2 linked regions of the Neurospora crassa OR74A genome follow. The main gene of each other region encodes a partner of the protein of the gene in region 2 in a complex. Links are inferred from orthologs where the notes say so. Each region holds a gene or a part of one and is shown on either strand. Other genes may lie near its edges.

Region 1 (4,032 bases), on a different chromosome or scaffold from region 2:
GTACTGTCGCTTTCCCCCAGCCAGACAGTGACGAGCAAGGCATTGTGGTAGATATCTGTCATCAGCTGAACCTGAGACGATTTCTCGTCTTTGTCGGACTGGTTGATGCATATCGCATCTACCCAAAGCGTCGTGGAGAGGTTGGATTTAGATCGTATGCGTCTTAGAGCAGCGCAAAGGTTGTGAGTTGCATGGAAGGGAACGCCGTTGACAGCAATGGGAGAGGTAACATTCGGATCTCCCCAGACGTATGATAAGGCCGTATACTCCGTTTCCATTGACAGTTGAGTTATGTACAGTCTGCATTGGATGGGGTCTTGAAGACTGTTGGCCGGGAGAAGCTCGAGCAAGCGGATGTCTTTTTGAGAAGTGTCGAGACGCGTGGCGTGGATTGGGGTCATAATGATTTTAAAGGACCGCGAGTTATGACGGACGATTGCTGGACAGAGTCAAGCGATCTATAACCCAGAGAGTGAATGGTGGAAATGAATTCGTGGGTGAATGGAAGCATGGAGATTTTGATGGTTTGGGTTGTTGACAGGGAGGTGAACATTTGTTCAGTTGACAGCGGGGAGCTTCGCGTCTTTAGTGGGTTGAGATTAGATGGAAAGCTGCCTCGCGGCGTGCCTTATCACACGGAAGGTGCAGACAGGTAGGGTTGGATGATGGAAGACGTCGGAACTGGCAGGCAAGAACGAGGGGGGTGGCTGAGAAGCTACCGTGGGTTGCCCAACGCCAATGTACTTCTTTCTATTGGACACTGATGCACATAAGAAGACGTGTACTGCTTCGTCCAATTCAGCTTACTCTTCGGTCTCATTGTCTTCAGTAGGCGGCTGTGCCTGACGAAGCTCGAGCTTGATCCGCCAGTTCATGAACTCATCTGTGATGATGTCTCCGTGGCCCACCTCCTCGACTTTGAACACTTCGATTTCTGCCGACCGAGGCCTTCTCTTGATCCTCCACACGCCCTCGTCGGTGATGGTATGGCGAAGCCCTGAAAAGAGACTGTTAGTCATAGATTCCAAAGCATAAGACGCTTTGCTGGACTTCAAGAAGACAAAGGAAATGACAAGACTCACACTCGAGGAAGCCGTTAGCAAAGTTGACGCACGTATCCCCATCCCATTTTGGCCGCCCATTCTTCTTCACCATGAGCGGTATCTCCATCGTGCGGAACTCTTTGGTCTCAACCAGCAGCCCATCCTGCGTCCGGAATCCGACAATGATCTTGGGGACGCCTAGGAGAAAGGACTGGATCCAAAACTTCATGAGCTTACGCTCAAAGTTATTGGCCTGGCGCTCATTTTGGATTACTGCCGACGTCTTGAGCTCCACCCAGTTGATTGGATCGCCTTGAGTCCTTGGTTTGTCGTCCCATACTAAGTAAGAAAAGACGAGTTATTAGTTGGGGTTGACGAGAGGCGTTAGTATAGGTAGGGAGACAAGAGCACTAACTAGCATCAACCTCACCACCGATACAGAGAATGGTCTTGCCAATGCCTGTACGGACTACTGAGCAGTATTGCTCCTTGTTGTTCACGACATGATCGGGACGGCTTTCAATGAAATCGCGAGAGGTCTGGCCCCATGGTTTCGGAAGTGTGCTCAGAGTCTCAAACTTGTAGCCTTGGAAGCCAGGAGACGTCAGCTTACCAATTCAGCAGATATGAAAGACGTGGACAGTGAGTTAGCTTACCCCAGTACTGCATCACTTCTTGCGGGATTGGCCCGTTCCATGGCCGCTCGTTTGCTCTCGATGCTTGTTTGTATGCATGGTTCTCTTCGATAAATCTTGTCGCCGTCAGTCAAAATAGCATGGGGGCGGAAACCATGTGGTCGCTTACATGCAACCCTTTTACAGCCATGTTAGTATGACAAGGCTTCCCAAGTTAGATGGCCAAGCGGCAGGTGTGGACGAACTCTGTAAAGGGTAGCATTCATCTCAAACCCGTCGTCATCATCAAAGGGGGCTGCCATGATCTATCACGGTGTATATGATGTTAGTGTCCGATATACGAACGACATCATGAAACAGCTAGTCTAAGGGAGACTCGCCTTTGTCATCATGCCTCTCCAAGTTACGATGTGAGCATCGATCGGTTTCGACGTCTTTTGCTCATAGTCGGCTATGGTGGTGAGTAGGCTGTCCAGATGTTCGTCTACACTATCGTCATGTTTGATGAAGCTCTCGAAGCCCTTGGACAGGTCGACGTTGAGGTCTGGTGTGTAATACCACTTCAATGACTGAGCTCCAAGTAAGAACTTGTGATCGGCATCGTATGAGAAGCATGCAAATTCCTGGTCAGACAGTTAGCCTCTCTGGTCTTTGGATGTCTCTAGTAGGTTGTTTCTACCTTTGGCCGTTTGACCAGCTCACTCTTGCCCGCAAACCGTGCTACAGGCTGGATTGGGAAAGCGGCGGTCATGGTAGAAAAGAGCGGTTGTCCGGCGCTGTGTATGTGGATGAAGGCTCTAAATCTGGAATTCCAATGCCCAAGTATAAGGACTTGACGAGTTATCATTAATACTTGAAAGGAGGATAGATGTAGAGAAGAGCCAGGATACCTTTATTGAGGTGGAAGCATCTCGAGCTTGTAATTCATGTCTCGTGGAGGCCGCTGCCCCTGCAGTGATCCGTCGTGCGTGAGGCCCTGTCAGTGGGGTTACGTACCTATGTAGCAACGGCGGGACCCTCTGTAACAACAAACAAGCACTGTACATCCGTTTTAGGGGATCATGAACGTGGAGAGAGGAGGACTTCTTGAGCAACACCAACTAAAGCACCATCATTGACCAACCTAACCTTGACACCCGACGACTCAAGTCCTGGGTGACGACGACTCAACGTCCACTCAGTAACACCTACAATTCATACCAACTGTAGACGGGCCCGGCACACCAAGCAGTAGTTCCATACTGTATACCTTAGGCATGCCGATAATGAAGTACCGCGCAACACGATAGCTCTCCCTCCTCGCGACACCCGGACGCCGAGTCAAACACACACCACCATCATGGCCGACCGATACGGCCAGCAGCCGCAATCCTATCGGGGCAACAGCGGTTTCGGCAACCTTGGCCGGCGTAACGACGACTACGATCCCTACGGTGACGGATATCCCAGCGACCGCTATGGCACCAGCACTAACCCGGCTTCAAGACCATCGACGGCCTCCCGAAATGCGCCCCCGCCCCGGTCTGCCCAGCGTGGCCGCACGGGTGCCGGCGATATGCAGATCCAGTCCAATGCCGAGCGCCAGATTGGAAACGTGCTGGATCTGATCAAGAGAGAATGGCCCGCCATGGTCGAGACAGACTGCATCCCCGTCCAGCTGGCTCTACAGCTTCTCGACACCAGCTCCGTCGGCCGCGCCCACGAATACCGCAACTTCCAGCAGACACACCAGTTCCTCCAAGAGTCCCTCAAGAACATTGTCCACGACCACCACCAAGGCTTCAACAGTTCCATTGGTACATTCCACAAGATCCAAGGGAGCATACAGTCCTCCCAGAAGAAGGTGCGCGCCCTCAAGGAGTCGCTGGCAGCCTCCAAGACGGCACTCTGCACCACCAATCCCGAACTCAAACAGCTACATGCCACGTCACGCATGTACGATGGCGTCCTACAAACACTGAACGAGCTCGATGACTTGCGCACCGTTCCAGACCAGTTGGAGGCCAGGATATCCGAGAAGCGTTTTCTGACCGCCGTCGAGGTCCTGCAGAATGCGCTACGGAAGCTGAGGAAGCCCGAGCTGGATAACATTGGTGCCCTGAGCGACCTGCGAAGCTATCTTGCAAATCAGGAGACCGCCCTCATGGATATCCTGGTGGAAGAGTTGCACGAACATCTCTATCTGAAATCACCGTACTGTCAGGAAAGGTGGCAGAACCTGGCAAAGGTCCAGGGAATTTCTCATGAGACCTATGGAGACGCCCCAGGCGTGGCACCCTTCCACGGAATCTTGGACACCATTGACTGGGAAAAGTCCGTGGCTGAGGATCCCCAAAAGAATCCCGAGGCGGACA
Region 2 (4,509 bases):
CCCTTGCGCCCTCGACGAGACCTCCTTCATTGGTGATAATCTCGAATATGCGCTCGAAGCCCTTTTCGAATGCCACCAGCTTCTGGATATCCACGGACTCGGCAGTGAGGTCGATCAGCAGACTGATGGCCGCATCCCGGACGGCTTCTCGCCTGTCGTCGAGCACGGCAACCAGCCTAGGGATGCCCAGGGGCGCAACGAGGACGCATTCTTCGGTTCTCTCTGTCCGGGCAAAGTGTATGTGGGAGAGCAGCTGAAGTGAGTAGAGGCGCGAGTAAAAGTCGGTCGTGTCGAGCAGATCGAGCAGCAGCGTGATGTTCTCCTGGCGCTGGGTGAACTCGTCGGCGAGCCAGAGCGCAATCTCCTCTGAAGCTTCGGGGCTGTCTTCGTTGGGGCTGAAGAGCATCAGCAGGGTCTCGAGGACGACCTTGACCGTATCGACATCCTCGCCATCCCTGCTCAGACTCCCGATGAGACTTCGTAGAGCGCCAGAGGCTACTGAGGCCGGGTACTGCTTGGAGAAGCTGCGCAGACCGAGGATGGCGGCGCGGCGGTCTTCGAGGAGGGTCGCGGTGTTGAGACGGCCGCTGAGGACGGCAATGGTTTCGCTCACCGACTGCTTGGCCGGCGCCGCCGTAATGGTCGAGAACATGTTCGAGGATAGAGGTAGTGGACTAGTTTGGATGCCATGGAGGGAGGGACTGGAGGATCATGGCGTACGGCGGGGTGCGCGCATGCTCGAGGGTTAAGAGGTGTCGGATCACCACCTCTTGCGTCGTCGGGGTGTCAGTCAGGGGTAGGTACCTGTGTGGTCCCGCTATAGCGAGCGTAGTGGTACTTGCACCTGTAGCTTAGTGTATACCTACCTAGCACTCTGAGGTTCCGTTGGATCTTGGATGTACCCGGACAAAACGATTGGAAAATGGAAGGGCCCGCCTTGTTACAACCACCCGACTCGCTGCACACAAACGAAGCCAGGAAGTAGGTATGTACCTAGTTGCTTCCATGTGGCTAGTAGGTATACAACCAACGGAGGCCAACGGAATGAAACTAGGGGACAGGTGGTCCTTTCATACGAAAAGTCCAGCCCGCGCAACAATTGGCAATCATCAAGGCATGGTAAGTACCTTAGATACCTACACCTCTAGGTAGTAGTATTTATCATTTCATACCTTGGTTAGGGTCGTTTCGGGACTCATGGAAAGTACTATGATAGGTATATAATCGTGCAGTTCCATGTAATGCTATGTATAGGTAGTCTTTCGGATAAGTAAATGTCGGGTGTGTGTACCTCTACGGTTCCTGCGCCTCAATCATACCGTGCTCTGTTAGCCCGCACAACTGTTGATCATAGAGCGTCATGTGATGTTTCGATAAGCCGATAACAGGCTGCTGTGGCGTTGTCATTGGTCTTATCAGTGCTTATCGTCCCTTGCCGCATGGTCTTGGCACTCGTTGAACCCTTGAATTCTTTCGCATGTCAGAGCTCGGCGTTCTGTTCCGGTCTCGTCCTTCTCTCCCCAGTTCATCCCACTGCCACTCCATCACCACTTCTGCAATCGCTCACGTCTTATCCAACGGGCATTGCTGCAAGGACCGCTTTGCTGTGTCAATTTAGCCCGGATTCATTGAATTGGGCTTTCGACAAGGCGTGTCCTCAATCTTGCTGCGCCGTTTCCACAGTGCACTTTGAGGTGAACCTTGGTGGCTCTATCTGCGGTCACCTTGCGCGTGTTGTGCATCAGCATCTTTTGTTGCCCATACATCCGATCCCTTCGACCGACCTTATACCTCAGTCTGCTTCCATCAACATTCCTTTATTCGCTTTCCGTCGGTGCGAATTGAAGAACCCACTACGTTCACTTTCCGAACCACCCATCTCGTTCAGCGACTACCCCCGATCTTTCTCGCGACAACTACCTACTACATTTTATAGCCAACCACATTTTAACTACCGTCCCTACAAGTGCTATTCGTGTGACCACTCGATCGCCTTTGCAAGATGGGTATTCCGGCGGCTTTCAGGTGGCTGTCCACCAAGTATCCCAAGATCATCTCGCCCGTCATCGAGGATCAGCCGATTACTATGCCCGATGGCACCGTCATTCCTGTTGACGCGACCAAGCCAAATCCCAATGGCGAGGAGTTTGACAACCTGTATCTCGACATGAACGGCATCGTCCATCCTTGCTCTCACCCCGAGGACCGCCCCGCGCCCAAGGACGAGGAAGAGATGATGGTCGAGGTTTTCAAGTACACCGATCGCGTCGTCAACATGGTTCGCCCGCGGAAGCTTCTCATGATTGCTGTTGGTGCGTATCTCTCTTTCGCACCATCTCTGTCGCCCTACTTTGATTTAAGAAACGGGACTAACATAATTTCACCACAGACGGCGTTGCCCCCAGAGCCAAAATGAACCAGCAACGGTCCAGACGATTTCGCGCTGCCCGGGAAGCCATGGAAAAGGAGGAAGACAAGCAAAAGTTCGTCGAGCTGCTCAAGAAACAGAACGGCAAGCCCCAAGAGGAAGAACCCGTAGAGGTCGTCGTCAAGAAGGCTTTCGATTCCAACTCCATCACTCCTGGTACGCCCTTCATGGACATCCTGGCTGCCAGTCTCAGGTATTGGTGTTCCTATAAGCTCAATACCGATCCTGCCTGGGCCAACATCAAGGTCATTATCTCTGACGCCACCGTTCCGGGTGAGGGTGAACATAAGATCATGGAATTCGTCCGCTCCCAGCGTGGTTCCCCCAACCATGACCCCAATACTCGGCATGTCATTTACGGACTCGACGCCGACCTTATCATGCTTGGCTTAGCCACGCACGAGCCCCATTTCCGTGTTCTGCGTGAAGACGTCTTTGCCCAAGACAGCAGGCCGAGACTGTGCAAGATTTGCGGTCAAAAGGGACATGACGCCATGAACTGCAAGGGCGAGGCAAAGGAGAAGAATGGCGAGTTCGACGAGAAGGACGCAGTCGTGCCTCTCAAGCCCTTTATCTGGCTCCACGTTTCCATTCTCCGTGAGTACCTTGCCATTGAACTTGACGTTCCTGGCCTTCCCTTCCAGTTCAACTTGGAAAGGGCCATCGACGATTGGGTTTTCATGTGCTTCTTTGTCGGAAACGATTTCTTGCCTCACTTGCCTGCATTGGAGATCAGGGAGAACGGAATTGATACCCTAACGGCCATCTGGAAAGATAACTTGCCCGTAATGGGCGGATATTTGACCAAAGATGGCCATGCGGACCTTGAACGTGTCCAGTACATCATGGCCGGCTTGGCCAAGCAGGAAGATGCCATTTTCAGGAGGAGAAAGGAAACCGAAGACCGACGAGAGGCCGGTTTCAAGAGGCGCAAGCTTGCCGATGAGGCCCGACAAAGGAGAGCCCAAGGCAGTAGGCAAATACGTCAGGCGGCTGAGAATAGTGGTCCGCCAGCTGGATTTTCCTTTCACAAGATTAACGAATTTCCGGGCAAGGCTCCGCAACCATCAATCACTCATGACATGGTGGTGAACCGCCAGGCGGTTGACCAGGCCAATGTTGCCAACAAGAGTGCCGCTAGCGTGCTCAAGGATCAGATCAAGAGCATGATGGCGCAAGGAACGAGCACTCCAGAGAACGGTGCTGAGTCCACTGAGACTCCTGCTGAAACTGCTGCGGCCGCCCCGGCCACCGAAGAGCAAGCTGCTCCCCCAGCAGCCCTGGGTAAAAGGAAGGCTGAGCTTATCGAAGATGCTGTCGCTGGTCCCGAGGCCAGCAGTACCGAGGTGACCGAGATCAGCGAGAGTGATGCTGAGCCTACCGATTCGGTCAGGCTGTGGGAAGAGGGCTATGCGGACCGGTACTATGAGCAGAAGTTCAAGGTTGACCGTAAAGACATTGATTTCCGTCACAAGGTTGGCCGTGCGTATGCCGAAGGTCTTGCGTGGGTTCTGGAGTATTATTTCCAGGGCTGCCCCTCATGGGAGTGGTTCTACCCCTACCATTACGCGCCGTTCGCTGCGGACTTTGTTGATCTTGGCAAGATGGAGATCAAGTTTGAGAAGGGCAGAATTTCGCGGCCATTTGAGCAACTGATGAGCGTCCTTCCGGCCGCGTCTCGTCATGCCATCCCTGAGGTGTTCCACTCCTTAATGTTAGAGGAGACCAGTGAGATCCGCCATTTCTACCCCGATGACTTCGAGATTGATCTCAACGGCAAAAAGATGGCTTGGCAGGGTGTCGCCCTCCTTCCCTTCATCGACATGCCTCGTCTATTGGCTGCCATGGAGACCAAAAGTCATCTCTTGAGCCCAGAAGATCACCTCCGGAATGCACCGGGCAAGGATTATCTACTTCTATCTGATTCTCACCCAACACTGTACGATCACATCACGAGCCAGTTCTACTCCAAGAAGCAGGGTACGACCAAGTTCGAGCTGGATCCCACAAAGAGTGCTGGCCTCTCAGGCTTAGTCGAGAAGATTGATGGCTACGTGCCTCACGGCTCGCTGGTCTACCCG

What was found.
Region 1: the proteins of NCU01643 (region 2) and NCU04191 are in contact, whole or in part, in a cryo-EM structure (PDB 9FMS), measured with the Saccharomyces cerevisiae proteins. The link is inferred for Neurospora crassa OR74A from reciprocal best matches to the Saccharomyces cerevisiae genes RAT1 and RAI1. Residues at the interface, in NP_014691.1 of Saccharomyces cerevisiae: Arg216, Ala217, Asp218, Pro219, Glu220, Thr313, Phe314, Asp315, Arg318, Cys368, Asp369, Phe805, Pro854, Ser855, Lys858, Ser859, Ile860, Ile861, Leu862, Asn863, Ile911, Thr912, Gln913, Tyr914, Lys915, Arg917, Thr918, Gly919, Gly920, Tyr921; in NP_011268.1 of Saccharomyces cerevisiae: Tyr46, Tyr47, Leu48, Pro49, Asp50, Leu53, Asp54, Arg55, Leu181, Gln182, Tyr183, Thr184, Arg186, Ile189, Glu190, Phe226, Asp227, Phe228, Gln247, Val248, Ala249, Asn250, Ile251, Thr254, Phe257, Glu258, Phe280, Lys288, Thr289, Val290.

What each region holds. Positions count from the first base shown.
Region 1 is NC_026505.1:5,152,878-5,156,909, reverse strand, and holds NCU04191 (rai-1), read right to left. Parts: upstream 2,535-4,032; 5' UTR 2,526-2,534; coding exon 2,358-2,525; intron 2,302-2,357; coding exon 2,059-2,301; intron 1,984-2,058; coding exon 1,924-1,983; intron 1,856-1,923; coding exon 1,848-1,855; intron 1,795-1,847; coding exon 1,700-1,794; intron 1,630-1,699; coding exon 1,459-1,629; intron 1,383-1,458; coding exon 1,083-1,382; intron 998-1,082; coding exon 804-997; 3' UTR 723-803; downstream 1-722. Other genes in the region: NCU17026 (hypothetical protein), read right to left, coding at 1-401; NCU04190 (exocyst complex component Sec8), read left to right, coding at 3,018-4,032. UniProt on the Saccharomyces cerevisiae protein: Decapping enzyme for NAD-capped RNAs: specifically hydrolyzes the nicotinamide adenine dinucleotide (NAD) cap from a subset of RNAs by removing the entire NAD moiety from the 5'-end of an NAD-capped RNA.
Region 2 is NC_026502.1:2,829,762-2,834,270, forward strand, and holds the start of NCU01643 (5'-3' exoribonuclease 2), read left to right. Parts: upstream 1-1,507; 5' UTR 1,508-2,002; coding exon 2,003-2,312; intron 2,313-2,389; coding exon 2,390-4,509. Other genes in the region: NCU01644 (intracellular protein transporter UsoA), read right to left, coding at 1-652. UniProt on the Saccharomyces cerevisiae protein: Possesses 5'->3' exoribonuclease activity. Required for the processing of nuclear mRNA, rRNA and small nucleolar RNA (snoRNA) precursors.